Astyanax mexicanus: one gene and its partners. The protein of the gene in region 2 purifies or fractionates together with the protein of the main gene of each other region. This does not show direct contact. Links are inferred from orthologs where the notes say so. Each region holds a gene or a part of one and is shown on either strand. Other genes may lie near its edges. The genes, in order: tsc22d1, nrbp1 and tsc22d2.

Region 1 (10,928 bases), on a different chromosome or scaffold from region 2:
CTTGGCTGGATAACAGAAGGTGTGATGTTCTGGAGTTCAGATTAAACAAACTACTATTTTTTTATGACAGGTATTTAGAATATTGCTGTAATCATAGAGGGAGCTTAAATATTACACCTGCAGTTGATACATGTGCAAAAGTCAGCTTCAAACCTTCAACACTTTTAAAGGTCAGAGTGTGAATTGAAAGCAGTGGGCATCCGTGTCTGTCAGTACACTGATATAAGCAGTTGTCACTTAGCATGGGAAAAGTGACCAGCAGCCTATGAAGGGGGTCTGCTCTCTATTTTTATTTATGTGACAATATCCCTACACCTTCTATTCCCCAAGAACAACCTATATTTGAAAATAACCTTGTACATAAGTGTAATACTTTATATTAGAAATAAGAAATGCAGAAAATTCTAAACATTCACATCAGCCACACTTTTTTTCTTAACTTTTTCAAAACAAATTTTGACACTCACCTATCTTCCTCTCCATCTACAGGCAAGTTCTTCAGCAGACTGGCTGAGGCAGTTAAGGCATTAACTCCACCACTCTCCTCAGGACCTAAGGAGGAGCCAGTTTGGGAGGCACATTCACCAGCTGCTAGCTTGGGAAGTGCGAGCACAGACTGGTGCTGAAAGAGAAGGCGTTGGGCATCCTCCAGCTGTGTGGCCATCAGTGAGGGCAGGGTGGCATAAAGGGCACTGACAACAGGCTGGGCGCTGGCATTCTTAGCGCCATTCTGTACCAAGCTGGACTGGCGATCACTCTGAGGATTGGGAGGCACATTTGATGCAGGCAGGCTTGATGTAACTGAAGGGACAAACTGGGCTCCTAATGCCTGATTGCTGAGGGGCGCATGTTGCTCCATGGAGAGCTGAGAGGAAAGCTGTGGTCCTTGGGGCTGCTGGATTACTCCAGGCCCTGTAGACTGCACTAGCTGTGGCATGACCCCACCGGTGGGGGCCTGGGCCATCTGGGGTGAGGGAGTCTGTTGTGGTTGCATCAGTCCTTGAGAAAGCGACTGAGCTACAGCAGTGGGCACAGTGCCCACAGGTGGCTGTGAACCCGGCATCATCTGAGCACTGCCTGCCACGGTGACAGGGGGGATGGAGCTGGACAGGTGGGGAAGGGCTTGCGCTGATCCCGGAGCTGCAGCCTGGATGATCTCCTGAGGCGGCTGCTGCTGAGTGAAGTCAGGTGGCAGGCTGCCCCCTTGGCTTAAAGGGTTGACGTGTGCTGGGGCTACCTGGGCTGGTGCCGCTGGCTGCTGTGCAGGCGGGTAGGCCATCTGCTGTGGGGTGACTCCTGAGAGGCCCTGAGCTGGAGTTAGCTGTGCTGCTTGGGCATATGTCATCTGCTGTGGGGCCACGGCCGGTGATGGATGCCCAGTGGCCGTCTGCAAGCCTACCATATTTACCGCATTTTGTTGCTGCTGAGTGCAGGCTGGCAGTGGGGTGGTTGCACCAGCCTTTAGATGGGGATGCACCATGTCCTGGCGAGGCATCTGAGGTTTGGAAATGTTAGCAGTAGTGGGTGGCTGTGGAAAGATCTGCTGCACAGCTGAGGAGCCTCCGATATCACCACTGCTCACACTCTCAGAGTAGTGACTTAGAGTGCTGACTGAGCTGCTGACAGAGCTCACACTGTCTCTTTCTGAGCCCAACACGTTATCAGGTACAAACTGGCGGATGCTCTCTACTGTTCGGGTGCTAGGTGCATTTTCAGAGGACCCAGAACCTGGAGCCTCTTTGTCATAAAACTCTGTGCATGTCCATCGGCCTTTCTTAAACGGCTCGGAACTAGAGTCCAATTTGACCACTCTGAAGCGTGAGCTGGTAGTAGCAGGAGGAGGCATTTGTGCCTGCTGAGAATGAGTGTTAGAGCCAAGGATAGCATTTGAAGGCTGGGTAGCGTCAGCTGTCCCCACATGACTACCACTTGTTGACCCAGTAACAGCAGTGGCAGTGGTGCCAGTTGTCATTGTGATGACATTACTTACTACACCACTCTGCTGCTGCATTAGGTTTACGTTTTGGTTGTTGGTATTATTCAAGCCAGAGGAAAAAACTACACTGCTACTGTTTGTACTTATGCCACCCAAAGCAGGCACATTGGAGTTTAATATATTAACATTACTTGCATTGCTTGGTAAACGCTTAATACTTATCGTAGCACCTGATGCCGCAGTGACTATGCCAGTAGATGTTCCTGGTGCACCAGCAACCAAGGGCTGACTAATGACATTGGTGGTGGCAACAGAGGCGTTTTCCAGAATTCCACCCACATTCGAAGGCATTTTCTGGCCTATGATTGGTACAGATTCAGGGCTTGTTGTGATGGTGGAGGTCACCACACTACCGAGTGGGATGCCAGCAGCTTGAGTAGCGCCTGATCCTGCAGAAGAAGTGGAATGAGTATTTCCAGAATGCGTAGGGTGAAACTGATGGTGGTGGGGCTGGGGGTGCCCCGCATTGTGGTGGTGGTGCTGCTGTTGCTGCTGCTGAACATGATGATGATTATTATTTTGATGATGATGATGATGGTGGTGGTTAACAGCACCATTGACCATAGTGTGTGTGCCGCCGTGGTGCGTCTGGGACAGAATAGGTGGCTGATTTGGAGATACAGCCCCCGGGGTTTCTGCCTCGTGAAAGTTGTTGAGGGTTTCTTCAGATGAGCTCCTCTCAGGTCCACCGGTGTCATTGGTCCGTGACAAGGACACATCCAGGATCTCAGAAGAGGAGAGGTCCTCTGTGTGGGACTCATCCAGATCATCACAACTTTCAGTGTCCTCAGTTATGCTGTTGTTTGTGCTGACGGAGATCTGGGCAGGGGTGACGCTGGTGATCTGAAAGCCACTTTTCTTTTTAATCTGTGCCCCCGGGGCCACGGGCAGGTTCTGGGGCAGCAGCGTGGGCTGGGGGTGGATGCTGAGGCTTTGAGGAGGGAGCTGGGAGCCGAGCGTGGCCGCGGCTGAGGCCAGCGGCTGGATTAGCGCGGAGGGCTTGTAATCGTCTGCCGGCATCAGGTTGTTGCTAAGGCTGGCACTTCCCGAAGATGTCAACGCGGAGGGAGAAGCACTAGCGGTGTTACCGGCAGCCCGTCGGGCAAAAGTCGCCGGTTGCGCCATTTTTCGGGCGCTCGTCGAGTCTCCTGCTGGGTCGGGGTGATGCATTTCTAGGGGGTGGTCTCCGGCAGAGTTGTAAATACAGCTTACAAGAACTGCCGTGTTGACAAGGTCTTTTTCAGTAGGAATTTCACCTCGCCCAAGTAGTTTCCACATAAAACTAATGGCCCCTTTCCAAAAACAGCCAGGAGTCGATAATTCCACTTTTGTTCAAGGTATTTAAACAATGTCCCGGCCAGGCTACGCGCTAGATAACTAGCTAGCTAACCTGGCTAAACTGAATGCTAGCTTATGGCTAGCTTAGCTAGCTAACGTTAGCTAAGTTAAAAACAGTCGTCGTTTAATGCTAGCTAGCGTTAGTGCTCTCAGCTTAGAAACACTGGTTTACACTCAGTTAGTTAGCAAGCTAACATAACTAGCTTATCTTAGCTATTTAACTGTCGAAGACGTTTCAGATCCAGAACGTTGTCAGATATGACCAAATTTAGTTAGCTAACTAACAGTTCATATTATCCAAACAGCTAGCAAATACAGAAATTTATTATCAAACAAACTGAACACAGCTGAGTTAGCTAACCTAACGTTTTCAATATCCAACAGCGGTGGCTGGCTACAAGTGCATGTAGTACAGTTACAGCTACTAGATTGTGATTCGCATTTTGAATCCGGCGTTACAGCAGGCGTAAAACCATACAATCCACCGACGTTGTCAAGCTGGCAGGCTGTATCCAAAACGAGTACCGTTACCGGAGTCCGTGTTTATTCCATGTCCCCGTCCTCTTTGTTATAATCCAGTGTTAGCTAGCTAGCTGCACCAGTAGCTAAATAGTAAGCTAGTATCTTCTTTCCCAACAGCTCTCTGTCTCTCTTCAGCTCTCTCTCTGTCTCCTTGTAATGTAGCCTGTGCTATTGCTAGCCAGCTATCTGCCTGTGACGAGACCGAAAGGGGGAGGAGAAGCTGCTGATAACATGGCGACAGCGCATGTCTGTTTACGCCGCCAACAGCCAGACATAAAGCCAGTCTGAGGGAAAGGCGGAGGGAGGAAAGAGGAGGGAGGGGTGAGCCTAGAAAAAAAATGAGCATAGAAACAAGGGAAGAGTCAGGAGAGGGTGAGAGCGGGGTGGTCTGTTGGAGAGATCTGCAAAATAGCTTGCTAGCTAGTTATTTATCAGCTGAAAAAAGACTTGACCGTACTGTAACCGCTGTCTCTATGGCTCTAAGTGTCTAATATAATATAATATAAAATACTTCTGCTTTTAAGTGTTTCAGAGGGGTTGTGAGACACCCCAGCAGCGGAGAAAGAGAGAAAGCTTTAGCTTACTACGTGAGAGAACCGGAGGAGGGGGGCTTTATCTCCACTGGACCCCTGAGGTTGTCAGTGGGCGTTGTCCTCATGTCGCTTATGTCCTTTTGGCCCGGGTGATGCTAGCTAGATAGCTAAGTTGGATAGAAAGATACAGCTCTGAAAAGCCCACTTAAGTTTCTTTGATTTTGTATATATTCATATGCATATGTGTCAGTAAAATAAATATTGCTGTTTTATTCTATAAACTACGGACAACATTTCCCCCAAATTCCAAATAAAAATATTGTCATTTAGAGCATTTATTTGCGGAAAACGATAAATGGCTAAAATAACAACAAAAAAAAAAGAAACAGAGCTTTCAGACCTTAAATAATGAAAAGAAAACAAGTTCATATTCATAAAGTTTTCATAAAAACTTCAGAAATCAATAGTTGCTGGAATAACCCTGATTTTAATTACAGTTTTCCTGCATCTTGGCATGTTCTGCTCCACCATTCTTGCACACTGCTTTTGGATAAAACTGATAAAATTCAAGCAGTTCAGTTTGGTTTGATGGCTTGTGATCATCCATCTTCCTCTTGATTATATTCCAGAGGTTTTCAATTTGGTAAAATCAAAGAAGTGTCTAATTTGTAAGTGGTCTCTTATTTTTTTCCAGAGCTGTATCTTGCTAATTAAATAATCAGTTAAGCTAGCTCGCAGACCAAGCTCAGTTTTAAACTCATTATGGCTCACATTTGACATTATGGATGATTGAAAAAAATATTTAAGCAAATGCATGTGGGTACCAGGGGATGTCCAAATATCTGGGTCTTAAGAATCTGCCTGGTTTAATTGGAGACAATAACATGTTGTCACTGTTGAGTAAAAACATTATATGAGTATACTCTAAAATGAGCATACTTTTCTCCAAATGAAAAGTCATGAGAATGAAATTCATTTTACAGCATTTTTATTGGACTTTGTAGCATTAATTTGTTGTGTTTCACATCAAATTAACTTCAGGATATCCAACATATTTATTACACATTGCATTATTAGTCCAAATCATACACCCCTAGTTTGCATGTGTATGTTCCTGTGGATGACTTGAAGGTGGTACTTTGAGTTATCTGTTATACATTATCAGGGCTATATGGCATAGCTAGCTAGCTATTTAGCTTGAATAGACCCACCTAGGATAGTTTGTTGACTTCTGTCTGGGTCAGCAGCTTAACAAAGTGTAAACAGACTGTATGGGGGGAAACAAGCTTGGTGGCTAACTAACATGGTCCAGAAATGTGTCCTGTTTTCACAAAACAACTAGCTACATTGAAAGAGGTGCCAGATTTTTCCACAGACAGAAGAGAACAACCAAACACATGTGTTCACTGCACAGCCATTGCACACACTGATGGTTGGTCCTCTCTGTTTAGAGTAGGAGCTAAAGTTCTAGGCTCAGTAGTTTAATGTGTTAAGGGTTTTAAAATATGACTTAAGGGGAAGGGGCTGCGCAACATGATAAACATATGGTTATATATATGATAAACACATATATATATATGAAAACTAATTTAAAATGATTTAATATTATTATATTATTGTATAATATAGTTTATACTATGACATTTATTTTAAATAGTTGCAGAATATTAACAAAAACATAAATGTTGTGTCCATTTTCAAATGTATTTATGAATGTATTCCACATATTCCTTTTTCATTATGAAACTTAGAAAAATACATAGCTTTGGTGGGATTGCACTGGCACCTTTACACTCTTATGGATTAAGAAATATTCAAACATTGCTTAAAGGGGTTGGGACTTTATAACAGTACATTCTTTGGACATTTACAAGACCTGTTCCATACTGTCTCTCTGATGTTAATGTGTAAAATAGGTCTGTAGTTAGCTGGAACTTTTCTAGAGTTCTTTTTTGTCAGATGTGGTGTGTAGTGTGTAATTGCTAGTAAAACAAAAAGCACAAAAGTTGAGGTAGGGGTAGCATAGTTTAGTCTGTTGTTAGTTGAGTTGTTTGTAGTGCTTTTGATAATTGATTCTAGTAGTGTAATAGATAGCCAATAATGAAAGAACATATTTTTTAGTGGGGAAATCAATTTGGTAATTTTTATGTCATATGAGGTGAGGTACTACTAAGTACTAATTTGAGATAACATGTTAACATATATTCATTGTATGCACATACTTACCTGAATGACCTTCTTTTCAGAGACTAAATTCAGATTTTAGGCATATAACAGTGTCTCATTAAAACAGCTGCTTTGTCAGAGGTTCAGAAGCTTTTAGATCCAGGACTTATTCAATGAAATACAAATGTGTACCCCTGTAATGCAAAAATAACTGCATGCGGTACTTCATTGGACAAAAAGCTGATGTGACCTACAGTTGATAGATATCCCTTCTCTTTGGACTCGTCAACAAACCTGAATGAAAGTGAGGTTGATATGATTGTAATCCGGAACAATAACTGTTGGGAAACGATATAAGATGCCCTTCCGAAATGAATGTGTGCCCTTTGTCACTGGCAGGCAATATTCAGCCCAGGCAGACAGGCTTGTACCCATCCATACAAATGTCGGAGGGAGAGAGCCAGCGAGAGCTGATTGCAATGTAAGCGTCTGGTGCTGTCAGCAGCTTTAAATCACACTGGCACTCCACAACAAAAAACACAGAGAGCTATTGTCCTCCTGAACAATTATGGTCAATTTAAACACTGCTGTCTGCTTTAGTTTGTAAACATTTATTAAAATGATATCTTTATGATTAGATAAAAGAATAGGGCCCACTGTTGAGTCACTGTTTGCATGTAATCCAAGGCTTCAGTTGAAAGCAGAACAACAAAACGCTGTGCTTTCATTGCTTTTCTCTGCTGCTGTCATGAGAGCATTTAAACATGTTCAAAGATGTTTATGGGTTTTGAAATATGTGAAGCCTGCAGATGAAGCTGCTGCATTGACACAGTTGTCCTGAAGCGAGGTGAAATTCCTGAAACAACAAAAGCCTACAGGAGAGAGAGGAGCAGCAAAGCAAAGCCTAAAGTCTCTGAATACAGATGTCAAGCCTGTAGTTGGGGCATTGTGTCCACTTGTGAGCCAACTTTAAGTCGGAATTTCTGATACTCATAGTGTTGTCAGACCAGTCCAGTCATCCGCTCATTTGGTAAATTATTGTGTGCAAATGCCTGCGATATGAAATGGTACCTGTGATTATGATTGGTCATATTTTTCCTGTCCTTGCCCTTTACAGTTGATTCAGTCATTAATGTATGTATGAATAAATAAGCTTTAGATATCCAACATATTAAAAAAATTGTAAGAAAATGCTTGATACATTTTACACCCTTATAATTTTAGTATTACTCCTGTAAAGGTAACATCGTAACGCTACAAAGAGAGCTACATTTCACTAATAATACATCAGAATTGTGGTGTGCCATGCCTAGAACACATTTAACCCTTTCGATAAACTACAATTTTTTTGAGTCCGTTAGCTAATCAAATAACAAACGCATCCTAACATAAATGCACTATTGGGACCGTTTGCAGTAGTTATTTCTAAAAAGCTATTTTAAATGCACATATATAACAATAGTACTAATGTGTATTCTCTATGAAGGAATTGCTTATGTGACTCTAAATATAATTAATGTTGAGATTTGTTGTTGTTGCTGTTCCTGATTTATCATTCATGGTGTTTACTACAGAAACCAGTATTAAGAATAAAGATTTAGATTATTTGAAACACTTTATTGATGCCATAGATAATTCTCTTCCAGTAGTACACTGACTTAAACATCTGTCAAGTGTTGTACCTCAAGGCTTAATACTTAAGCCATTATTGTTTTTATACACATAAACCACTTTAAACTTTCTTTCAAAAGTGCTTTTTTTATTTGACAGTTATATCTATCTATCAAACTAAGATTGATTTATTTTCACAAGAGTTTGCTGCTGGCTTTTGTTGTGACAGCTGATTTAAAGCTAATAAATGATCTCACAACCTTCACCAAGGCGCTTGTAATACGTTTTTGCTAGAAGGTGAAAGAGAGATTGTTTTTTTCACTTGTTCCATTTGTTTCTATTGTGCCACATGCTATATTGTCTCTCATAAATGAAACTCATAGATCTAAGGTCCTCCTGTGGGAATGTTAACCTGGTTCTATTTGTCACTGCAGCTTTGTCACTGTGTAAAGGTCACTGAGTTTTTTTCTTTACCATTAATTTCTAAGACTTTGTTTGGACCTGTTGCAGAGTCACAGATCGGATGTTGTGGTCTTGCAAGTGTTTGCCATTTTGTGAGAGGAATTTTGGTGCAAATTATTGGTGAAACAAATTTGAAGAGGGTGATAATAAAGCTTCAATCTATCTGTGTGTCTTTCTTAGACTTTATGTAATGGAAACCAGGTCTATCTTATGCTTTATCTGAAATACATGAGTGTCAGTGTGGAGTAAGCAGTTGTAGTTAATTTCAATGCAGCTGATTTCATTTTGGTGTCCTTGAATAAGACAGCAAGGACTGTGCTCACAGTATTTCAGCACTCTGTCATTGTTATAACCTTGATCTTCGTTAAGGTGCTTGTTTCAGAGATTTGATTTCATATGAAGATGTGATGAAGGATGGGCTCTGCCTCTGAAAGCCTTTCTTTATGTACCATGTCTTGTATCAGGCCTGTCAACTGAATGTGTTCTTGTTGTTGCGTAAGGATGGAACACAAAAGAAGTCAGTAGATAAGTTCAGTATCGCAGTGTTTCCACTGCATGATTAAATATGTGTTTTAAATCGCTTCCCAATATCCTTAAATATACCTTTGTGTATTAACAGTTGCTGTATGTCAAAATAATATGTGCATTAGGAGACATAAGGTGCAGTTTTATTAGCACATTATGTATGGCATAATACAGGTTACTCTCATTTTGTGTAGTATAGTATAGTATAGCTTGTGGTTTTAAACACAGTCTGGGTTGTGTTATGTTCAGAACAGATGACAGACAGGCTTTGTTATTAGATGGTGTCAAATGGCGCCACCTAGGGGCTCATTTAATAGCAGTGTACTTCTATTTAAATGCTTTAAAGTTCTACATGAATAAACATACACAGCAAAATTGACAGTAATTTAAATTTGTCCTAGATAACATATTGTCCCACTCACTCTAGTGTTAAAATAACTCAACACTGAAAATCTACAAAACATTATAAAATGTGAGCTATACCACAGAATCTGTTACTTTTTTATCCTATCCAAGACACACACAAAATCAAGAGGCAGAGTCTGTTAGATCCAGTTAAATTTTACCTCTGAATAATAACACCAACTCTGTGAAAAACATATTTACACAGTGATTTTAACACTGCGGATTTTACTCTGTAAGTGTATGTATTTATTAGTGCATTCATTTTTTTGTTTGAATTTATATTTTTTTTGCATAAACTTTACCTTTACCAGTAAAATTCTTCTGTTCTATTAATTCTATTAAAATTACATTTTACAAATATTTTTTTTTTTCAACTGCTGTTGCTTTTGTTTTTTTTAATCCTCCCCATCACATTTGAACATCAGACAATGAAGCTATATATAAAAGGAATCAACTGACTTAAATATCTGTATCAAATCTTTGTATTTGTGTTATCTCACCACATATTTGTCTTCTTGCGAGAATGACATAAATGTGACAGTAAAAATGCCACATAGGTAATTAGGCTGTTAGATGTATCAAATATAACTTTATATTTGTTTTCTACCTAATGTTCTTACATGTTTGGTTTTTAGCTCCACTGAAAACTTTATCTTTCTCAGATGCAAACTTGAATAAATGGCTAATTACACCGCTTACATACATACTGTTAAAATACCAAGACAGCTTATAGCATACTGTAATTTATGTTTTAATAAGAAAACAATAAAAACAACTCTTCAAGATCTTTACAAAATAAAAACACTTTGACCATAGTGATTGTGATGACAGGGGTTAATAAATAGGTTACTGAATGAGGAATGCCTGTGGTGGACAGCTGTTATCTTCTTTAATAATGAACAATCTCTGCATGTGTATAACAAAAACAGGTAGCTAATGTATTGTCACCATATGAAATGTGTTTAAGTTGAGTAGAGAATAAACTGCAACTACAGGTGCAGCAAAAAAAAAAAGAATATCATTACAAAATTATTTTATCTTAGTAATTCTTATATATTATATTTATGTATTACATACAGTGTGATCTATTTTACAGCTGATCAAAACCCAAAAATCAGTGTCTCAGAAAATTTGAATAGTATATAAGACCAACTGTGACTTTTAGCAGTGTGGGCAGTGATTTTGTACTAAAGTCAAAACATTTGTTTTTAAATGCTATTTTGATGAACACTCCCCAAATCTTTTTTTTTTTTTTTTTAATATTTGCAGAAATAGTACTAAATATTTTTTTTAATACTTTTTATGCTGCATGACTTTATTTCTCTAAAAGTAATTCAGATTACTTGTTGCATGTTCTCAGATTCAGTGGC
Region 2 (11,401 bases):
CAGACATTTAAAGGTTAAAATGCCACATAAATCTGCTTCATGCAGCTTATTTTAGGGCTGTTAAACTACTGTTAACTACTTACTAGTTACTGTTAAGCTAGTCTTTAAGATGGTGATATAATATGGCAGATAAGCAGAAAGCTGTAGCAGCTGCTGTAGGTCACAGCACAGTATAGTGACTCTGATTTCACCGTTTTATGAGTGAAAGGAGCAGGAATGCATATAGATTGACTATGCATGGCAGTACATATTGATCTCTCCTGACATTTATATTCCTTTTATTCATAGATATTTATAGGAAGCTATAAACACATTCAGAGCGTTGGTGTATTGTTCCTTTGAAGCACTGTCTAAAAGTGTTTTATTGGGTTGGCACAGGGTATAGGTGGTGAAATTAAATATTTACTGGATGACAACTGGTAATAGCAAGGCCATCTACACCACAGCAACTTAATTTATATAAGACCAAGATGCTTCAAGCTCTCAGTTACATAATTGCTTTCAATCTTTAACATTTACAGAACCATAATAATAATAATGTTACTTTGTCATTAGTTTACAATGACAACCTCTTGAGGAGACTAACTGCAATATTAAAAATTAAAAGCAAGCAAACTTACTTTGATTAAGTAATTGGTCACAGAGCATTTTTGGGCCATATTTTGGTGATCTATAGGCAAGCCATCAACCGTGCACCAGGCAGCTTGATTTAGGGTGTGTCAGTGTGTATTTGCTATTGTAACAATGCAAAAAATCTTCCTTGCACAGCTCAAAATGCATCAGAAGGCATGTACTAATTCTTTTAATTAATCATGGGTGTGTTTTGGGTGTAACGTGAAATAAACCAATCAGCATTCCATTTAAGAACCAGATGTGCTCTGATCTTGGCAGATTTCAAAGGTGCTACACTTCTGTGCTTCTCAGCAGAGGAAAATGACCTGCACATTCACACCTCAGGAAAATTACTGTTAGCATCCTAACATTAGTAAACTGTGTTGCTTAATATTTTGTTAGATTTTATGCCTGTATCGCATCCTTCAATTGGTTTACTGTTTATTCTCATCGGGTTAGAGCTCCTTTCACATGTTCTCCTGTGTCTGTGGAGCTTTGGTCAATAGAGTAATGAGCACAGGGCTTTCCACGTTTTCTTGGACATAGAAATGTACATGGCTACACAGGTCTAGGGTGAAGCAACTGTCTAATGCCTGCTTGTTTAAAGACAGGAGTTCATGAGTTCAAATTCCATCAGCAGCACTGGCTTGGATGAGTATGGAATAGAAAGCATCCCCCCATGCTAGTCTACAAATGGGAATAAAATCTAAACAAATATTCTACAAACTGTTTAAACTATTTCAGCTGCTGCACTTTACTAATGTTTACTAATGGATCAACTGTTTAATAGACCAAACTGAGATGCAAATGTGAGTTAGGAGAACTTTAGAGTAAACAATATGTGTAATCTGTGACTTGTGTATTTTAATTTTATGTTAAAATGTTTTACAGAGCATATACAGTACTGTGCAAAAGTTTAAGGCACCGATGCAAATTACACTAATCCATTCATCTAATCAATAGGAGTGTTTTTACCTGAAAAAAGCACCACATATTATTTAAACAGATGCAAAAAACATACATACAGTAAAATGTAACAGTGAATTCTCATTTTAACTAAGTATGTTATATCCTTTGAGCCAAGCTGAAGAACAAAGTGTAGTTCCAAATTTCCAGATATGTTCAGTTCCGTCAGCAGCTCACCTGCTTTACCACATTTACCAATTTACCAAACCAGGTGTTGAACTAGAAATAACTCTATTAAACTCAGATGAGGAGAGATTAGGAGAAGTTGTAAATTTGCTGTTTGTATTCAACTAAATTTATTAAATTGTTTTACTGAAAATAGTTAAGTAACTTTAATAATTATGACAAAATGGTGAATTTGAAACTGTCCAAATGTACTTGATATTAGAAGTGCATCTTGAGACATGAACACTTAAGACACTTTTTCCTCCTCTATGAAATGTTTACACGATTTACAATTAAAATATATCAACACAATAATTTCAAAAATTGAACCAACTGAAAGATCACATTAATCCAATTTGTAACATTGTTCATGTGGAACCATGAAACCCAGTTTTATACAGTACTTCTGTAAGATCTACTGTAGCTATTGAATGTGACAGAGCTGTAAAATCACTAGGTGGTGGATTTGTAGCCATAAAACAAAAGCAGTGACAGAAGGTGATTATCAGGTTGGGAGTGTGTAGCTGCTGACCCTGTGTGAGGCTTGTACTGCCCAGCAGTGGATGCATTAGTGATGTGTAGAGTCAGCTGCCTGAGACCCAAGAGCCCGCTAAGCCTCAGTTATGCCCCAACAAACACACTGCCAAGATGACTCTCACATTCTCTTATGGCATGCAACGTAGCAGAGGCCAACTTATTTCAGGCCACAGCATGGCGGCCCACTCAGAGAGGAAGTGATCACAAGCATCTGTCTCGTGTAGACAGCAGTCAGTAATTGGTGGAGAGTGAGAGCCCACTGATTACCAGTATTTCAATGCAGCTCATGCACTGATATAGTTTAGCTGTGAAACATTAAAATCATCTTATTTCTGAAAAACTGATTATACTCTTGGATGTATTCTTATGAAACAGGTTTGACTGAGTCAACTTTTTAGTCACACTTTTGGCTGCAATATTAGATTAACAACAGTTAATGAATAATTTGCTTTCACACACAATGTAGAAGAATAACTATAAATTTTTCAAAGAACCTTTCTATAGAAAACTATTTCTTATTTTGGCTGCAAACACTGCAGGTTTTTAAAAATGTTAATTTGCATACATTTATATATATTTTAAAAAACATTATAACATAAACATTTTTATTATTGTTTCTAAAGTTTAGTCAGTGCTACTGACCTTTACAGTCTGTTGGCTTAAGCCCTACAAATGCTACCTACCAGCCTGTGCTGAAAGATTGATCGTTGCAACAATAACAAAGGGATGCAGGAATTTTGCAAGTGTATACATGTGTATATACATACACATTTGCAATACCTACATACTGTATATATGTATGGATGCATTTGGTTGCATATTTTACAGGATAAATAAACTGAGGTGTATAGTATTTCTGTCTGTAGGACACTATAGTGTTTAAACAGAAGGGTAGAAATGGATGACCAACCTAAATATGTTTTACTTAAGATAGCTTATTTTAAAGCATTGTTGTTTAAATTGTACTGGAATAACTAATTCATACATTAATTAATTTATCATTTTTACATTTAAATGGGACTGAAATTACAAATTTATAAGTTGGTAAATACACTTTCTGTATTCTGTATTCATTTTTGTCAAATAACAGTATATGATTCTCTTACTTCCATTAACATGTCCATTTACATCCTAGTGGTGGAAAGTTAGAGTGAAGATTCCATTTTTTTACTTTAGTGAAGCCCCAGAGCAAAAGTACAAATTATTTAAATATTTTTTTAAAATATATTTTAAAGATTATTATTATCCATAACAATATCAAGGTCCACTCTTGTCATTCTGGTATAACCTACCCTTTAGGAAAGTACATTTGACATCCATGAAATCACAAGGGAAAGACACTTTCACACTTAAAAAATATATATATTTCCCTTAATATTTCTCATATTGTCTCCATATTTAGTTGAAGTAAAGCTTAAGATGTCCAGCTAATGTTAATGTCCACTCTGTTATTGTCCACCCTGTAATTGTACACCCTGTCATTATCCACAATGTTACTGTCCACTCTGTCATTGTTCACCCTGTTATTGACCACTCTGTCATTGTCCACCCTGTCACTGTCCACCCTGTTACTGTCCACTCTGTCATTGTCCACCCTGTCACTGTCCACTCTGTCACTGTCCACTCTGTCACTGTCCACCCTGTCACTGTCCACTCTGTTACTGTCCACTCCGTCATTGTCCACCCTGTTACTGTCCACCCTGTCACTGTCCACTCTGTCACTGTCCACCCTGTCACTGTCCACTCTGTCACTGTCCACCCTGTCACTGTCCACTCTGTCATTGTCCACCCTGTCACTGTCCACTCTGTCATTGTCCATCCTGTCACTGTTCACTCTGTCATTGTCCACCCTGTCACTGTTCACTCTGTCACTGTCCACCCTGTTATTGTCCATGCTGTCAAGAAAAAAATCATGCAAAAAATATCAAAATCACATTTTTTTTTCTTTGAGGGCAAAGGACATAGTATTTTGACGTGACAACTATAGAAATCCTTTAAAACAGTGAGTTCACTCACCGATGGTCTTTTCCACACCAGTTTGAGTGGGAACTTCTGGTTGTAGTACAGTGAGGAATCATCAGCAGGAAATAGCGGGTCTTTAAACAGAACTTTTTTGCGCACATATTTGTCCCTGAGCTCCAAAAAGTCCTTCAGCCTCTTGGCATCTTTGACGGCTTCATTGCGGCTCAGAATGGCTGAGTAAATGTTCCCGGGGGCCGCAAACAGACTGGCTGCACTGTCAGCTCCAGGAGCGGCCTCTGTGGTCTGTGCTCTCGTTTCTGCCACCTTCTCTTCATCTGCTTTTTCCATTGTAATCTTTTTGGTTCTGTCCTTGTTCATGGCTGCAGTCTGTGTGGGACAACAGTGCAGATCAGACAGTGAATTAATGGGCTGAATAAACAGTCAGAGTAAAGAGTTCTCTAATGTTTTCTAACTGATCTGATCACACTTTGCTCAAGCTGTGAGCTCTTTTATATTCTTGGAGTCACACCCCCTGCCACCATCATCACACACACTTACACACACACACACACACACACATGGCCATCCTTGTAGTCTGTTCTATTAATAGGTCTTTTAGTAGCACAAGATAGTCTCTCTTACCCGTTCTCTCTTACACTTTCCCTTCTTTTACTCTCTCTTCCTTTCTTTTCACTCTCTCTTTTTTCTCTCACACTTTCCTGTGCACTGTGCTTAATGTGCAGTAATGGATTCAGTAGTATCATAACAGTAGTGTGTATTAGAAATTAGAACTACATAATTAAACAAAGTTAAAATAAAAGTTCTTAGATGTGCAAATATTTTTTAAACTTTTGAATAATAATTTGTTCCATCCATTTCACCACAATAATGCTTGAACCTTATCCCCATATAACTGAAGGCAACTCTGAGGGTAATAACATCCTGAACAACCCATTAAACTATCATACCATTGAATTATCTTTTCCTATATTAATGAAAGAATTAAGTGATTAAAGCACCTTAATGCGGAAAGTGGTCTCCATAAATGTGTAGCCATATAGGGGCAGTTACTCAGTTAGACATGCATATAAAAGCCTAGTCTTGGACTACATAGCATTGTAAATAGAGATTTGTCATGTAGTGCATAAACCCCTATTCCTCTACAGACACATACTGAAGCCTCTATTTTCACATAATTTTGTACAGTGCTGTTATGTAATTGTATGTTTACTAGTAATAAAATCTGTTGGGAAGTAGCAGCACTGGGTTATTAACAGTAGGGTTAGGTTCAGTGTGTTGCCACTGTTGGGCCTTTTGAGCAAGGCCCTTAAAAGCAGAATCCAAATTCCATATGTGTCCAGCATGAGTATGGTGTATATGGCTGTCCTGACATATCAGATTTACTGACCTATAAAGTAAGTCTGACTAGTCTCTTTGTATAGTTGTTTTTTGTTCTGTTATGTGTTTCTACTGTCAGGGCTGACCAGAGGGGGATGGATCCCACTTACTGAGTCTTTGTTCCTCCCAAGGTTTCTTCTATTAGTATGAGGGAGTTTTTCCTTGCCACTGTTGGCTATGCTAGATATATCTAAAGAAGTATGACTAGTAGTAATTTATATGGGAATATGGGAAGTTTCACAGATTTACTATTCAGAATTACATTGGAAATATATATATTATTTATGTGTGTGTGATGATCTGATATTATTTCTAGTATATTATTTAATATACATTACAGAGGTCTTGAAATAATCACTAAAGTTTTTTTTAACTGGAAAATGACCAGTATTCTTGGTGTGATTTCTAGTTTTAACAGATTACAGCATCAGACAGTCTAAAGAACTGTGATTTATCTGTGTCAGGTTCAGTGCTCGTGGTTTCCTGCAGGAGGCGCTGTGTGGGGCTGTGGTCTGTTACCAGTCTGTTACGGGTTTGTGGACCACTGCGGTCAAGTAGAACCAATGGGCGTAGCGAATGGGCGGGGTTACTTTCAATAAGTTTGTGCATCAGTCAATCATACTACAGAGATCAACCTTCAGTCATTTATTGCATTTCCCAATTAAAAGTGTGAGGTACCTGTCTGTCATATTGTGCGTCAGCTAGTATTTTCAAGCCCATTGGAGCCCAGGCTGCAGTTACACCTACTTGCCTGCGGGGGCGCTGTGCGGGACTGTGGTGTCCTGCGGGGGGCGCTGTGCGGGGCTGTGGTGTGATACCGCTGAAGAAGAAGCAGTAGTTGGTGTCGCCATTAGTGTGCGGTGTTTAGCGGAGATGTTCTGATGGTATTAGTGGGTGTTGTTGGACTCGTGGAGGCGGCCGTGTGTGCGGTATATCAGCCCTTTAAGCCCGGGGAGCTGCGCGGGGCGTGTCGGCGCGGTGCGGCCTGTCTCCAGTGAACACAGCGCTCCGTTAGAGTCTCCGGCTACTGGCAAACAAACGGCTTCCGCCAGCCGGTCGGGACGACGCCTTTGAGACAAACCCCGCCGCTAACTTTCTTCTGCTGGGCTTTATTTCACACAGACACGCCTCTACTGTTCAGTTAGAGCTCAGTTTTACATGTTAGGGGGTTAAACCCGCGCTGTGGGGTCAGACAGTTAGCTGAGTGGCTAATTTAGTTAGCTCAGCTCGCTGTGGTTCCTCCACCCTGTCTCTCTGGGTCTGTCTGTGTGTATCGATCAGGTGTGTTGTTTGATCCGCAGTAACTCCACAGATCAGGAGGGCTGGTGAGGAGATCTCACTCCTCAGAGCTGAAACACCACCGCCTAAACCTCCTCCTCCTCTTCTTCGGGTTAAGACTTTAGTTTAGAGTCGCTCCTGTGGATGTATCTTAACCCTCAGGTCTGGATCTTTTTGTCTGCTGGAGTTGACCTAAGCTGGCGCGGCGCCTGAACAGAGTGAGTACCTAAAGCCCTCCTCTCAGTGTTTATAGTCTGTTTTAATCGATATTTAACATGTTTATTAAAGTGTTACCGGGGTGACGCTGGTCTGTGGGTGAGGTTAGTGATCAGGATGTGGTGAACTGATGTTGTAGAGGTGCAGTGGCCTTATCGGGAGCTGCTGGAGCTCCTGAGGCCTGTAGCTGCTGCTGGAGCCAAACCGGAGGAACAAGTTTTACAAGATCAGCCCGAGAGGAGCGCAGTCCGCCGCCGGCCCGCCTGTGTTCCGCTGCAGGGCGGGGACCCGTCAGGGGCTCGGTGAACTGAGGAATCCGGCGATAGCTTTCTGTACAAATCTTCATAACCCAGTTACTCACACACGATAGCTAACTAGCTAGGAATCAACGGATTCCGCGTTTTACCGAAACCCGTTCCGCCATAAATTAGCCACAGCTAAAAAGCTAAAAATAGCAGACTGTGATGAGCTTGTACCAACCTGCTTAAGTGATTTTTACTTAACTACAAAACCTGAAAAAGAGGCTTGTGTTAAACGACTGTCTATTTCAGATATTTTTGCTTTACCTGATAACACTGTTAATATAGTTTTATACACCTAAACAGACAAAAAATATACTATATAACTTTAACCGAGGGACTCAGCAAAAAGCTAATAATGCAAAATAGTTTTAAAGGGCCTCTATATGTATCTAATATGAGTGTAGTTTAGTGTACCCTGTTCTGTTGTCTCTTCTCATTGGCTGCGCTGTAGTGACTGTAGTGATTTTTATTATGCGCGTCAGTGGGCATGGCTGATCGAACATATATAAAGCTCTGGAAAGAAATAAGAGACCACTTAAAATTATTAAAGTTTCTTTCATTTTACCAAATTGAAAATCTCTGGAATATGATCAAGAAGAAGATGAATGATTACAAGCCACCAACTGCTTGAAATTTTGCACCAGGAGTGGCATAAAGTTATCCAAAAGCAGTGTGTAAGACTGATGGAGGAGAACATGCCAAGATGCATGAAAACTGTGATTAAAACCAGGTTTATTCTACCAAATATTAATTTCTAAACACTTAAAACTTTATGAATATGAACTTGTTTTATTTGCATTATTTAAGGTCTGAAAGCTCTGCATCTTTTTTGTTATTTCAGCCGTTTCTCATTTTCTGCAAATAAATGCTCTAAATGACAATATTTGGAACTTGGGGAGAAATGTCTGTAGTTTATAGGATAAAACAACAATGTTAATTTGATTCAAACATAAACCTATACATAGCAAAAAATGAGAAACTGATTCAGAAACAACTCAAACCTATGATATTTGTTGTTTTTTATTTAATTAATACTCTGTGTACAATAATGATCTGAATACAATACATTGGACCTATGCTATACATTTGATGTCCACTAGCCAGATGTGTGCTGGAGTGGTTTGAATTTCTGTTACATGTGAAAACATACATTTTTGTTGACTTGAGCTGCTAAAATGTCTGCATATTTGTGAGGAAAGGAATTTGCTTGTTCCTCATCCCCGTTTTAATCCTTCTCAGTTAGCTCCTAATTCCCTAATTCAGCACCTGGACTGCATTCCTGTTGCTCTCACCCCTCTCTCAATACTTTCATATTAGCCCCAAGGCTTCACCAAGAGATTTATAGATACAATAATGTTCCTATGCGGGTCTATATGAAACTCTTTGCTATCTGCTTTTCATTTCTGTTCGGAGCATACTTTTATTGAAGTAACTGTTTCTTTTGATTAAATATCCCCACGACTATGATACTAATCAATGATATTAAGTATTTTACTACATTTTACTACTTATTTTACTGCAGTTATGTCCCCTGGACTTCTCGGAGGGATTTATACTAGAAATTGAAGTGTTGTGAGGATCTGATTGCTTATAGTGTTGGATTGTAGATCTGGATTGTAAATGTTATTGCATAGAGCTCTGTTGTTGTTGTTGTGTTTCATTTCACTGTTTTGTTTTTGTATTGGTGAATTTTATTTTGACACGTCTGTTTGTTCTGTTGTATTAGTGACTTATTTTGACACAATCTGTTCATGATTGTGACCTATTTTGACATGACCTGTCTGTCATTTAGTGATCAAGATGTGCAATGTCCTCTCTGTCACACTCCTAAAACTTTTTGTTTTATTTTACATTAAAGGTTTACAGTGGATTTTGTCATTCTGACAGACCAACAGGTCATTACTTTAAGACTTCTCTTTTTTAAAGTCAGACCTCCATTGTCACAGTATACCTATGATTTGGATGAATAGAGTGAATTATTATTGTAGTTCCTTAGTTTGTTTTTGTTAAATTCTGACATCCACAGTCTTACCATGTAATAATCTTAGCTGTGCCCATTCTGTTTCTCCTCACACAGTAATCTGCCTCCCACCCTTGTGGTGCGAGCATTCCAGACTGCGTTTGTAGCCGGAGGTTGTGGGCAAAGTCTGTTATCCATCGGTGATGTCTGAAGGAGAAGGCAAACAATTCACTTCTACTGCTCCAACATCCACCATGGAAGCGAAGCCTGAGTCGGTAGCCTCCGTCCCTGCTGGCCAGGGTGTCTCCTCTGTATCTCCCCCGGTGTCCACAGTAACTCAGCCTCCCCCTGCCGCCACTGCAGCCACTGAGGACGAGGAGGAGGAGAGTGAGGATGAGTCTGAGATTCTGGAAGAGAGCCCATGTGGACGCTGGCAGAAACGCAGAGAAGAGGTACAGAGCTTTGGTTCTATAGCAGGACTGTAAATAAAGTTAAACCGTGATATTATTACTGTACAGCATTAAGAATGGGTTTATCTGATGAAAGAAAAAATAGACAATTTTCAGTAAAAAGAGGATTTCTAATTTATTATTATTTGAATGAAATATGGTTATGTTCGAATTCCTGAAGATGGTGAAACACGTAATCAATGTGTTGTGAGAAGCATGAGTCACATTTATGAGGGGTGTGTGTGTTTGGACGGTCCTTGTTCGGCTGCGCATGACTGTAGCCCTAACAGTTCAGATACACTCTGCAGAGTGAACAGTGGACCAGTAAATGAGAGCAGAAGCTGCTGTTGAACCCTTGGAAATGCGGCTTAATTCCTTTTTTATTTTTATTTTTTTGCAGAAATGTGTGCTAAAATAATAACAATGTTACAGAAAATGATCCAAGATAGTTCATTATATTTCTCTGTTGATATACTGAATTCTGTTATAAAAAATAAATCTTTGAAAGACTTTAAAGCACATTTTTTAATTTAAGTTTGTTGGACAAGGAGATACATGTGTGAATCCTAATTAAAACAGTCAGTCTTCTTTGTTGCTTCAAATGTTTAGAATTGTAAGTAGTTGATGTTCACATGTTCACTGTTCCACAGGTTAACCAGCGAAATGTTCCTGGCATCGACAACGCCTACCTGGCTATGGACACAGAGGAGGGAGTGGAGGTGGTGTGGAATGAGGTCATGTTCTCCGAAAGGAAAAATTTCAAACTGCAGGAGGTACAGTTAAATTATTTCACATATAAAATAGCACAAGCAGACACAAAACAACACAACCTACAAATACATCCTCTTAGTCAGTCCACTAAATTGTGTGGTGGTTCCCACCAAACTGTTTTCTTGGCTGTTTGTTAGTCCTACTTGTATCATCTCCACACAGCAAAAAATGTCATTGCTGGTCATTAGCTACCAGCAATAGATCTAAACATAGTTAGCTTGTGTCTGATTTGTCTATGAGCTCCTTACCCACAGCTGATAGAAGCATCCGCTGACTGGTATAAATGTCTAAGAGAACAGCATTCTTCTTCGATACAAACTTAAGACGGAACGGCACATTCTGTGTTTTGGATATACTAACACAGAACTCTTAGATGTTAATCAGGTTGTTCATCTGCTCTGTGTATTTTGCTAGTGTTCATGTGCTGCTCTGAGTAGACATACATCTTAGCAATTAATCAGTTATAATAAGTGGGTCAAGCTATGGCTTAGTCACAGAGCTAAGAAATGGAAAATGCTACATTTTTGGAGAATGAGCAAAACTCATTTCTTAATACACATGGCATGCAGATGTTTTTTTAACCCCTTGAACATTTTAACCCCCATTTTAATCTACTTTGTTGTTCACTGAATATAACCTGCATTCAGTTGTTTAGTATCCACTATCATCTGTTCAGTAACTACTACGTATCTGCTATGAACTTTACAGAAAATGCCATTTAAGTATTTAGTGTCTAGGAGTTATACTATATATTATATGTCTGTTTTATCTGTTATTCAGTAACA
Region 3 (10,897 bases), on a different chromosome or scaffold from region 2:
ATAAAAATACATATATACGGTTTAGGGTTTAGTGCCTCTTTAATATGCTGTTTGTCCAACCATAACCAGCATGGCCAAACTTTAATAAAATAGCTATTTGTCCACTGCTACGCACCGTAATTACACTTTTGGGTGCACGTTTCCACAGAGATCCACATAAAATATAACATTAACACAACAGCGAGTGGAAATGGAGGAGCTACTGAACGCCCTGATGATGTCATGTGAGCGAGAAAAAAGCCTAAAATCTCACTGGTTCTCCTGTTTTTTTATTTGCAGTCCGGATGCAGGATGTTTTTTACTTTAGAGTAGAAGTGTGAGATATTTTTCACAGACGCCCCCTGAGAAACTAATCCTATCCAGATAGGGCTTAACACTAATAGTATAATAGTGTGTTTAATGCTGAATTTTAAAGTTAGCTAGCTCCTCTCTTATACTATGTAATTCTTGAACTATACCTTGATACAAACAAACAGATAATTAATAATACATAATAATAATTACTTTTAATGGTACTTTTACTTTTATCTTTAGTTATTAACATAAAAGTACTCTGTGGTTTGTCTTTGCTTCAGCTTCAGCTCTGGCAGATTGAACACACATTTGACTGCACAGAGCTGCATTCGCGCCACAACCCAGAGAACATGACAAACTACACTCTAAGAAATATAAGTACAGATTTGTACTTAAAAGAGTACAAAGCTTGTCGCTGGGGCTGTACCTTATATTAAGGTTCAAAAAAGTACCTTTCAGTGAAAGTACTTTTTTGTACCCATGGTTTTTGTGCCAGTATAGATTATAAAGATTATAAACATTGTCATCAACTAAAAATGGCTCAAAAACTTGATGATACAAAATTGTCTGGCTTTCAAATAAAAAATGTGCAATTTAAATATATACTGTTCATTAGTACAGTGATGCAGAATACTGAATGTACCTTTTGGCTGGTTAAATGGTACAAATCTGTACTTATTGCTGTTAGAAATGACTTTGTACTTCAGAGGGAACAAATCTGACCCTGTAAAGACCAATATTGTACCTTTGAGGGTACAATTATAAAGAATGTACCTTCGAGTACAAAAAAGTACTCATATCGTACCTCTGTTTTTTAGAGTGTAGGGCGTGTTCCAGCACTGAGGCAAAGGTCGCTAGGTGGACACCTGGTGAACGCCTTGAAAAAGCAAACGTTAACCTGAGGTGGGATTCTACCCATGACATTGTCCACGCTGATAACATGAATACGTTATTCTGAGATAGGGATGGGGCGTATGAACGCTCGGTATCACTGGGTTAGGGAAATTAGCTTTGGGCCTGTTGCGTGCCGTATGAAAATACAGAGCCAGTCCAGGTTGTTTTCCTTCTTAAACTCGTGAATTATTTTCGTCTTCTTCTTTCTTCTTCGTCTATTTACACTCTTAATCACCTTGGTGCACATTGCTCACCTAAGGAGTAAACACAGTGACACAGTCACTCACATCTACGATCTAAAGGTCATTTGGAGATAACACACGCAGGGCTGGTGAAGATCAGCTGGAGTAAAATGTTCATAAAGGATTTGAGGCTGGAAGTGAAATAAGGCCCCCATTCAGGAGCACACTGCGCTCTTTCCTCATAGATCTTTCTCGAATCCACAAAGTGTTGCCTGTCCCTCGCTGAAGCGAGGCATTGTAACACTTCCTGCTTTTTCTCCAGGCTGGTTTCTGCTCGGGACTTTTCCCTCTCACCATGAGAATGTGCTGCATGGCAGGAAACCACTTAGAGCCGGCGGGTCATGTGCATGGGAGGGACTTCCTCGAGAGGAGTCGGCTTGGCCTTCTCTCTCTGTGTCTCTCTCTCTCTCTCTCTCTTCTCTTTCTCAGCTCTCTCAGTTAGTTTTCTATCTTATCAGCTCCACTGTCTATAAAGGAGGAGCACTTTGTAGTTCTATGATTGCAGACTGTAGTTCTCTGCATCTGTTTCTCAACATACTTTATTATTATTATCCTCTTCACACAGCATAAATAGACCAGAACAGAGATACAGCTACTATTATTATTAATATTTGGGTAGTGGGTCATTATTCTAAGAGATAAACTTAAAAAGAAAGAAATTGATCATTTTTTTGTAATTTTTTTGCATAATTCATTGTGTAAAATCAAGAAAAGCATATATTAATTAATTAATTTATTTATTTAACATAACTACTAAAGAGAACAATATTTCAAGTTAACATCAGTGCAGCATTTAAGATAAGCAGATATCCAAAAGCAGTGTGTAAGACTGGTGGAGGAGAACATGATGCCAAGACGCATGAAAAAAACTGTGATCAAAATCCAGGGTTATTCCACCAAATATTGATTTCTGAACTCTTAAAACTTTATGAATATAAACTTGTTTTTTTTTTTTTCATTATTTGAGGCCTTCCTATAAGCCCCGCAGTGTTTAAAACCTCAGTGTTTAAACACAGTGTTTAAAACCTCCAGCAGCACCACTGTACCTAATACATTCACTGTACCAGCTCAACACACACTAACACCTCATACACCACCACCACCATGCTAATCAGTGTCGCTGCAGTGATATATATATATTCACGTACAGTTGTGCACAGGCATGTAAGGTCATATGTAAACCACATGTAATGGTAAATGGAAAGCATATGTAAACATAGGCTAGGCTAATGTTGTTAACACTGAACTTAAAACGTAAGACCTAAAAACTTTTTTCAACCTGCGTACAGATTTGTATGGCAAATTAGTGTGGTGTAGAGCATGGCATGACACGAAAAGAGGGGAATTGTGGGAAAGTGTTTTGCTGTAAAATTTAGTTTTTTAGATGAGTTAAAATAAGGTACATTTATTTTATTATAGTTTACCTAGATAACTAGATAGCCTAGATATTAGGTAAAGGATTTTGACTGGCCTTTTGTTTATTCGGGTTTATTTTAATGTAATATAAAGTTTTACAGGTAGACACTCACTAACCACTGACTTTTTCTTTATTCAGGTTTTTTCTAATGTTATATAGATATAAAGTTTTACAGGTAGATATGTCCACTGATTTTATGTTTATTTGGGTTTCTTCTAATCTTATATAAAGTTTTACAGGTAGACACTCTTACTAACCATGGGCTTTATGCTTTTTTGGGTTTATTTTAATGTTATATAATGTTTTAAAGGTAGACACACTCACTGACTATTGGCTTTATGTTTATTTGTTTTTTTTCTAATGTCATATAATGTTTTACAGGTAAATACATAAATATTTAATCATTCTGGAGGCCAATAAAACAAAATTGTATTTTGATAACTAAAATACAGTTTCCTGTTGCTGTCTTTTGACAGGTTAGGACCGGTAAACACTGCATGCACGTGAGGGCAGCGGCCTAAATAAATTATTCAGCATTATTTCCATGCTTTAGGCAAAACTTCCACCGCATTCACATGCTTAATGTCTGGACAACTACAGGGGTAGTTGTTCTCTGTATTTTAGACACTAGCTCAGAATCAGATATAACTACAGCAGTTTAAAGTATGAAGCTATGTCAACAGAGCCTTGTTATTGGTTTATATAGTTAGAGAATTTAATCTGGCTGAGATTTACTGGTGCATGTATCATGTAAATGGTATTTCTGTAACTGAAATCTAATAATAAAGAAATGACGTGGTCTCCTGCACAAAGTACTCAAGTATATCTGCACATATCAAATAAAAGAACAGGCATCTATGCAAGACTGATATCTATACTTCAAAATAAATGTGCAGGACTAATCAACAGTTACTGGAAACATTTAGTTGCAGTAAATGCTGCAGAACGAAGGTCATACCAGATAGTTTTGTCTTATTTTTAGATGTTGTCCTTGTCCAATTTTGGGACTGAAAGACTTGAATTGGCTAACATAGAATCTTAAATTTTAAATGTTAAAATGCTTCATATATCATTGTGTAAAAGCAAGAAATGCATACATTTATTAATGCATTTATTTATTCAACAAAACTATGAGGTAGAACAACATTTCAACATCTGTTAACATCAGTATAGCATTTAAAATAACTGTTTTTTTAGGAGAAGAATTATATGGCTGATTTGCACTTTTATGAGAAAAAAATGTACAAATAGAATTAAAGTAAACAATATTTTCAAGATCTTGCAGCAGCGTTGATGATGGTAGAGTCTCATGCTCCCTGAACCCTGAACCCTTTCACAATTCCAGCCCCATGAATCCTGACATTGTCATCTTGGAATATTCGATCCATTGATGGAAGAATAACCTGGTCTATATTCAGTATATTCAGGTAGAGTCAGCTGACCTCATTCTTTCAGCACATACTGTTGCTGAACCTAAACCTGCAGACCAACTGCAGCATCAACCAACCAACACATCATTTACTCACTTACATCCAGGATAAAGATATATATTTTAACAATCAATTCAGATAGAGAGGATGTTAATAAAGTACAGAGATAGTTTTATATAGTTTTATTTGCACACAGTTAAAGGTGTTCTGCATGCAGATGTTTGTGTATCAGGTCTGCTGAGCGCAGCTGCGGTGTCTCCTCTTGCTGCAGTGCAGTCTTTTCAGCGTGTATGTGGCTCCCTCTAGTGGACCACATCTGGATTTCACTGTAGGTCTCAGAACAAAGCAGAGAGCCCTGCTTCAAAAACATGTTCTGTAATAAAATAACGCATATTTATTAAGGCCTAGATTCCCAAAAAGTATGGCGACATGATAGTAGAATATATATATATATATATATATATATATATATATATATATATATATATATATATATATATATATATATATATATATATATGTATATATATATATATGTGTGTGTATATATATATATACATATTTTTCTTCTATAAAATATGTTGCGATATAAAAAATAGGGATGTTTAGAAGATTTCTCCAGAAGTAAAGAACCCAGCATAAAAAGATATTAATAATGCCCTCTATGTCGAGAAAATGTATATATCTTAAAAAATATATATTAAAAAGTCACTTTCTTTTTTCAAAAATACAAATATTTATCAAAAATAAATAAATCATTAACATGCACAGAAGACAAAAATATCAATCACAAAATATAAGCCTTCTTACCTACATAGCTTTCGTGGCTTTTAACTATAATGAAAATAAATAATTACTCATGGTGATAGCAAATGGTCTTAAACAGTAAAGAAAAAATTAAAGAGTAAGAAAAATAATATATATAAAGAGAGAACAAAATAAAACCCGCAGTAGTATGACAGTGGAAATGTAAAATATTGTTTAAAAAAAGGCGATAAGAATGTTAAATCTTCTTTAATTATTTATGTTATATTAATAATTATAATTAGAACTATTTTACTTAGCTTTTCTTCTCTGCTGCTTAAAGATCACGAGTTTATCAGGTCTTATTATAGTTATTAAAACATTGTATGTAATTTAAAACTATATTAAAATATTACTTGTGTATTATATAATAATATAATTATTATTTTTTTTTTTAAATTATTATTACAATAATTGATTTTAAAACTAAAGTGTTTAAAAATATTTGTAAAATTCTAGAATAAAAGTCTTTCATGTTTGCTACGCTTACACACTAAACCCTACGCACGTTCCGTATTCACCACGCAGATTTGCGCTCGTTCCGCAGTCAGCCTGTGCGTATCTTTAGCCATCTTGTAGAGCGGAGGAGTGCGGTGGGTTTAGCGCTGCTGCTCCGCGGTCTGAGCGCCGTTCCCACACACAGTCTGCAGATCAGCGCTACAGGAAAAGAGACTAAAACACACCGCGGCCGCCTGTCTGACTCAGACCCAGGCTGCTCCGGAACGGCGCGGGCGCGTCTTTCTCCTTCTTTCCCGGAGTGTTTTGGTACTTGTTCTGGAGGCGGAGGCCGAGGCCGGCGGTGGATGCGAGGCCGCGGGCAGCCTTCCCGCTTCGGCCCGGAGAAAGCAGCCTCAGCCCGGGGAGCTCGACGGCCACGCCGGCGTCGCTTCGGAGCCCGGCTCGGAGCCTGAAAAGCTGCGTTTAGGCCTCTTCAAGTCGGGTTTGTAGTGCGGACTCTGTTTTTAATCACCCGTCGTCTCCTTAATGCCCTCGGAAAGGACTTTTCTGAGCTTTTTTGAAGGTTTAACTGTGTTAAAAAAGTCGTCGAAAAATGCAACAGGAGAGAAGAGGAAGAGCGACGGTGACGCACAGGCTAACGGCAGCTAGCGCTAAAATCTGAGAGAAGCTCGTCCAGGTTTCCTCTGCTGCGTTTCTGGGGCGAAGTAGCGCGTTAGTCTTAGTTTTTAAACATTTTTGGGTCGTATTTGGTGCCTGGCTGGTGCTCACAGACCCTGTTTCAGACATGTCTAAGATGCCGGCGAAGAAAAAGAGCTGTTTTCAGATCACCAGCGTGACTCAGGCTCAGGTGGCCGGCAGCGGCCAGCCTGACGACACGGAAAGCCTGGACGATCCGGACGAATCCCGGACTGAGGACATTTCTTCATCCGAGATCTTTGACAGTGTGTCCCGGACCGAGCTGGAGGCGGGCACCGGCGAACGCAGCTCGTCCGAGGAGACTCTGAACAACGTGGGAGAATCCGAGGGTCCTCCTGCTTCTCACAAGCCGGGATTGTTGGCTCCTTCCAACGGAGGCGTGGGGCCTAGGGAACTGGGAACCTTATCTGGTGGAGCCTTGCCTGGGAGCTTACATTCACCTGGAGTCGTGGGCTATCAAGGGCCACAGGGGCCTGTCCAGTCGTCCCAGTTGCCCCAGGTATCCCAGGTGACCCAGTCATCATCCTCCTCCACCTCCTCTGGGGCCTTCAGTTCTCGCTTCAGGCTTATCAAACTTGACCACAGTACTGGAGAACCCTTCAAGAGAGGCAGGTGGACCTGCACGGAGTATTATGAAAAAGACCCTGATGTGGGCAGTAGTAGAACTGTGGACAGTATAAGGCACACGAATGTGAGCGTGGTGAGTGAGCAAGGCACGGACAGAGATAGAGACAGTGGGCTCGGGGCCACAATAGGATCCGTGACCCGCCCTTCTGGCCTCTCTGGTCAGGGGGACGAGCCGCCCGCCCTCGACCCATCCTTGCTCCATGGGTCTCTGCATCCTTTCGAGCAACATGGTTATGGTATTGTGCCACAACAGGTGCCTCCTGGCTCTGGGACGGTGACCTCTGACGCCCTCGGTAGCAAACAGCAGCATCAGGCCCCTGCAGGCCCTGGTTCTCATGTCACCAACGTTCCTCACAGCCTTCTCCCGCCCGGGCACAATGGGTTGCAGCAAGGCGGTCATCACGTTCAGAAGCAGCTTGGAGTTGCACCAACAATTTCTCAGCAGCAGACAATGCTCTATCAGGCCCAACAGCAGCAGCAGCAGCAGACACAGCAGCAGCAGTTACCTCTTGGACATCACCTGCCCAACCAGCCGGGCCTAGCCGAATACGCACAGCAGCATCTGCCTCTGACTGTCGCCCAAACACATCCCGGTGCTAGCTTGTCTGTGGTTCACCCAGCCAGCCAGGGGCCTTCACCCGTCCCAACTCCAGCAGCGGGGGGCATGCCTGTGTTGGGTGTTCCTGGGGATATGACGGGCATGCCTGTTCCTTTACCAGGGGGCCAGCCTGGGCCTTCAGTTTCAAACCTGTTGCCCCAGCTTGGGGCAGGAATGATTAGTGGAGTGAGCGCTATTCCTACAGGACAGTCATCAGTTCAGTTGGGACAGTATCCACCCTCAAGTATGGCAGTGCCTCCACAGAACGCCCAAACGTTGCCAGCAGTGCCCACATCAGCTGGGATGGGCGGTGCGCCCGTTACGGGTGGGCACTCCCCAATGCCAGCCAGTGGAGGCGTGCCTGTACCCATGCCCAATGCAAGCTCGTCTCAAGCCCAAGTGACCCGCAACGCAGCAGCCGTGGGTGGGTTCGGCCAGCTGGAGGAGGGCCGGAGGAAATCGGACGTTCTGGCCCAGGTTCCTCTGATGCCTGGGAAAGATCTGGGCAAGCCCCTGATCACGGAGGACCTGCCTTTGGCCACCCCTGGAGTGAACAGCCTGTTTGGAATAACCATCCCTATTGATGGGGATGATGACAGGTGAGGAGTCACTCACTTGCACTGAAACCTGATGTTGGGTTCACATTATTTTGGCCTGCTTTATTTTTTATTTATTTTTATCATCTTGCTTAGGTTCTTCACTCTCGTAACCACAGAGCTTTCGTGTTAAGTTCATAAAGGGGTGAGCGATAGAGCAAGCGTAAGGTCACAGTTGTGTTTTCTGATATCTGATGGTAAACTGGAGTGGAGAATAAAAAATAGAGGTGGCTTAAACACACACACACACACACACACACATCAGAACCTCTAAAATTTTACACACTGTTCTTACAAAGTATTCCCTTTTTAAAAATACATGCTATTTATGTACTTCAGGTTCATAGTAATTACTATGAATAGTAATTATTCAGTATTACACAGTAATTACATATTTAAAATTTTACATCTAAAATTGACTAACAATCTGATTAAATTCTCTGTAACTTAATACCGAAAGTGTTGGAGTAAATAATTTAAATCTGTAAATTAGCTGTGCGTATTAAAGTTAAAAATTTATTAACAGCATTCACAAAAGTTTATGAACGTACACTGTATAAGCCTGATAAAGATGACAGGACAGTGTTTTTTTATTTCTAGTAAAAACAAAACATAATCATACACTACTGCAGCAAAATGCAAATAAGATTTTATTACTACATATGATATGATAAGGCACAGCCCTAACTGAGATATTAAAAAATACAAGAATTTGATCAGATTTGTAACAGAAGTCAATAATCCAGAATGTCGTGGTACCAATAATAATAACACTCCTCCAAATATCTCCATATATCCAGAATTAAAGTAAAATAAGTGATACTGGACAGATATAATCTGTATCTAGTAGGTATATAAAGTGGGAAAGTAGCACCCTGATGTGATGATTAGGGGTAGGTGATATGACACCATATTTTAAGGGTATAATATCGTTCATAATATTAATTACACGTTACATAAATTACGTACAATACCCTAGTCATGATAATATCTTGCCATCAGATGGGTTTTTAATGTGAAAGCAGTCTAGTAGATGTCTTAAAAGGAAAATGTTTGAGAGATGTTTAACTTTTGTTTTTAATCACATGATGATAATTAACTTTCACTTCCAAAAACCTCAGCTTTGCACACTGGCGATTGATTGGAATGATTGTGAATAAGTGTCAGTCATGCTGTTGCTTGTAGTGAGCGTGCACTGTAACAAATCCCCACCATAGGCCACACGAAGGAAGCCTTCTGTTTGGGTTCTCTTGTTAGGGCCTCTTGAAGCTGAGAAGTCATCTGCAGAGGAGGAAAACAAGGAGAACCTCCTTATATGTACAGAAATATCTTTTCTTTCATTCAGACGCTGTTTGCAAGCTTCAGCTGAGGTTTTATTGTTTCAGAATGATTCAGAAAAGTCTGAATCCTGAACTTCCTTCTGCATTAAGAGTTTCCTTATTCCTTTAAACTCTGGCCTTGCCTGCTGACCCCTGAGGATTTGCTTTCTGTTATTCGTGGCCGTGACCCTGACTGTTTAGTAGGGTTTTAAGAAAATGTTGACGCATATTGAGGATAGGACTGCAACTAATGATTATTTTAATGGTCGACTAATCTGATAATAATTTTTCAGATTATTTGATGAGTCAACAATTATTTCTGCTATATTCTCCATTTCTAAAAACTATAGAAATGGTTAAACATGAGATTTAAAAGCCATTTAAGCGTTCAGATGTTGTTTAAGCATGAAAAGTTTATTAAAGTTTTTATATTTAGTGAGTAAATATGTCATCTGTTGTGTTTGTGCACTTTTGAAAACACAGAGCAAGTTGAGTGTAAACTTGCCATTTCCCAGCACTTTGTGTAATGTGGTACTGTTAGAAATTAACGATTAGTCGACAATTAAATTTCTATAAATAAATCGATAACGTTGATTATATCGACTAATCGTTGCATCTTTAGTGTATCCAGTTTGCATTCTATATTGCAGCACTTGGAAATGCATTCTATGCATTCAATGCTATGGAGGAGTGTGAGGTTGGCGTCCCTTTAAAAAAAAAATTTAAAATCTTAGAGGACACAGTCGTCATTAAGCTGTCAGTAATATTTTGTTAAGAGACGCAAGCTTTTACAATAAATGACTTTAAATTATGCAAAACATCATCGGCTTATCGCGGTCAAAAAAAATCATAGTTATTTCACCTTGCTGTTGAGTGGCTACGCTCAGAGCTTCTCTTTAATCAAGAAAGCAAGAAAGACGAACAGCTATTTATCAGGACGCCTCACGTCGAGGTGTTTATCTCATGAGCCATCGCCGCTCGTATGGGGAAGTTTTTGCAGGGCAGCTGAAAGGCGCATGTGTTGCAGACCCTCGAGGGCTTTTCTGTGGCTCTTTGCCATGCGCTCGATGGCAAACGCTGATAATGATAAGGCTGAGAAGAAGCATATCTAACAAACTGGCAATCGCTCAAACCCTAGGAAGGAGTATTTTTGTGGTCTGCGTGCTCCCAAAATAACACAAAGCCTGCTGTTATTTGATGGCCGGGGTGAAAAAAGCAGCATAAAAAGTTTTAACACGGTTTCTCTTGAGAAGTGTCGCTGCTCTGCTTCCTCTCGAATGCTTGACTTTCGGTTCCTGAGTTGCACTTTTTTTTTTTTTTTGAGCGCGATTCATCAAGCTGGTTGGCAGGCTTCAAAGGAAATGGTGAACTGACAAGTGACTCTGTGGCTTTGCTTTATGTATGTGTGTGTGAGTGTGTGTTTGCAGCGAGGTACATAACTCCAACTTATCACTCAGAATCCTGCTTTGCCTGTTCCTACGTGACGGGGGATTTGCCTTTTCTGCCCGAGGCCCGGGGCAC

What was found.
Region 1: the proteins of nrbp1 (region 2) and tsc22d1 purify together in Homo sapiens (affinity purification with mass spectrometry; 6 studies listed by BioGRID and IntAct, with this or other methods). This does not show direct contact. The link is inferred for Astyanax mexicanus from reciprocal best matches to the Homo sapiens genes NRBP1 and TSC22D1.
Region 3: the proteins of nrbp1 (region 2) and tsc22d2 purify together in Homo sapiens (affinity purification with mass spectrometry; 5 studies listed by BioGRID and IntAct, with this or other methods). This does not show direct contact. The link is inferred for Astyanax mexicanus from reciprocal best matches to the Homo sapiens genes NRBP1 and TSC22D2.

Annotation. Positions count from the first base shown.
Region 1 is NC_064418.1:28,487,011-28,497,938, forward strand, and holds the start of tsc22d1 (TSC22 domain family protein 1), read right to left. Parts: upstream 4,148-10,928; 5' UTR 3,275-4,147; coding exon 468-3,274; intron 1-467. UniProt on the Homo sapiens protein: Transcriptional repressor. Acts on the C-type natriuretic peptide (CNP) promoter. Acts to promote CASP3-mediated apoptosis.
Region 2 is NC_064408.1:79,490,085-79,501,485, reverse strand, and holds the start of nrbp1 (nuclear receptor-binding protein), read left to right. Parts: upstream 1-6,448; 5' UTR 6,449-7,136; intron 7,137-9,513; 5' UTR 9,514-9,599; coding exon 9,600-9,848; intron 9,849-10,495; coding exon 10,496-10,618; intron 10,619-11,401. Other genes in the region: capn3b (calpain-3b), read right to left, coding at 4,297-4,620. UniProt on the Homo sapiens protein: Required for embryonic development. Plays a role in intestinal epithelial cell fate and proliferation, thereby involved in the architectural development of the intestine potentially via the regulation of Wnt-responsive genes.
Region 3 is NC_064415.1:57,644,886-57,655,782, reverse strand, and holds the start of tsc22d2 (TSC22 domain family protein 2), read left to right. Parts: upstream 1-5,660; 5' UTR 5,661-6,324; coding exon 6,325-8,060; intron 8,061-10,897. UniProt on the Homo sapiens protein: Reduces the level of nuclear PKM isoform M2 which results in repression of cyclin CCND1 transcription and reduced cell growth.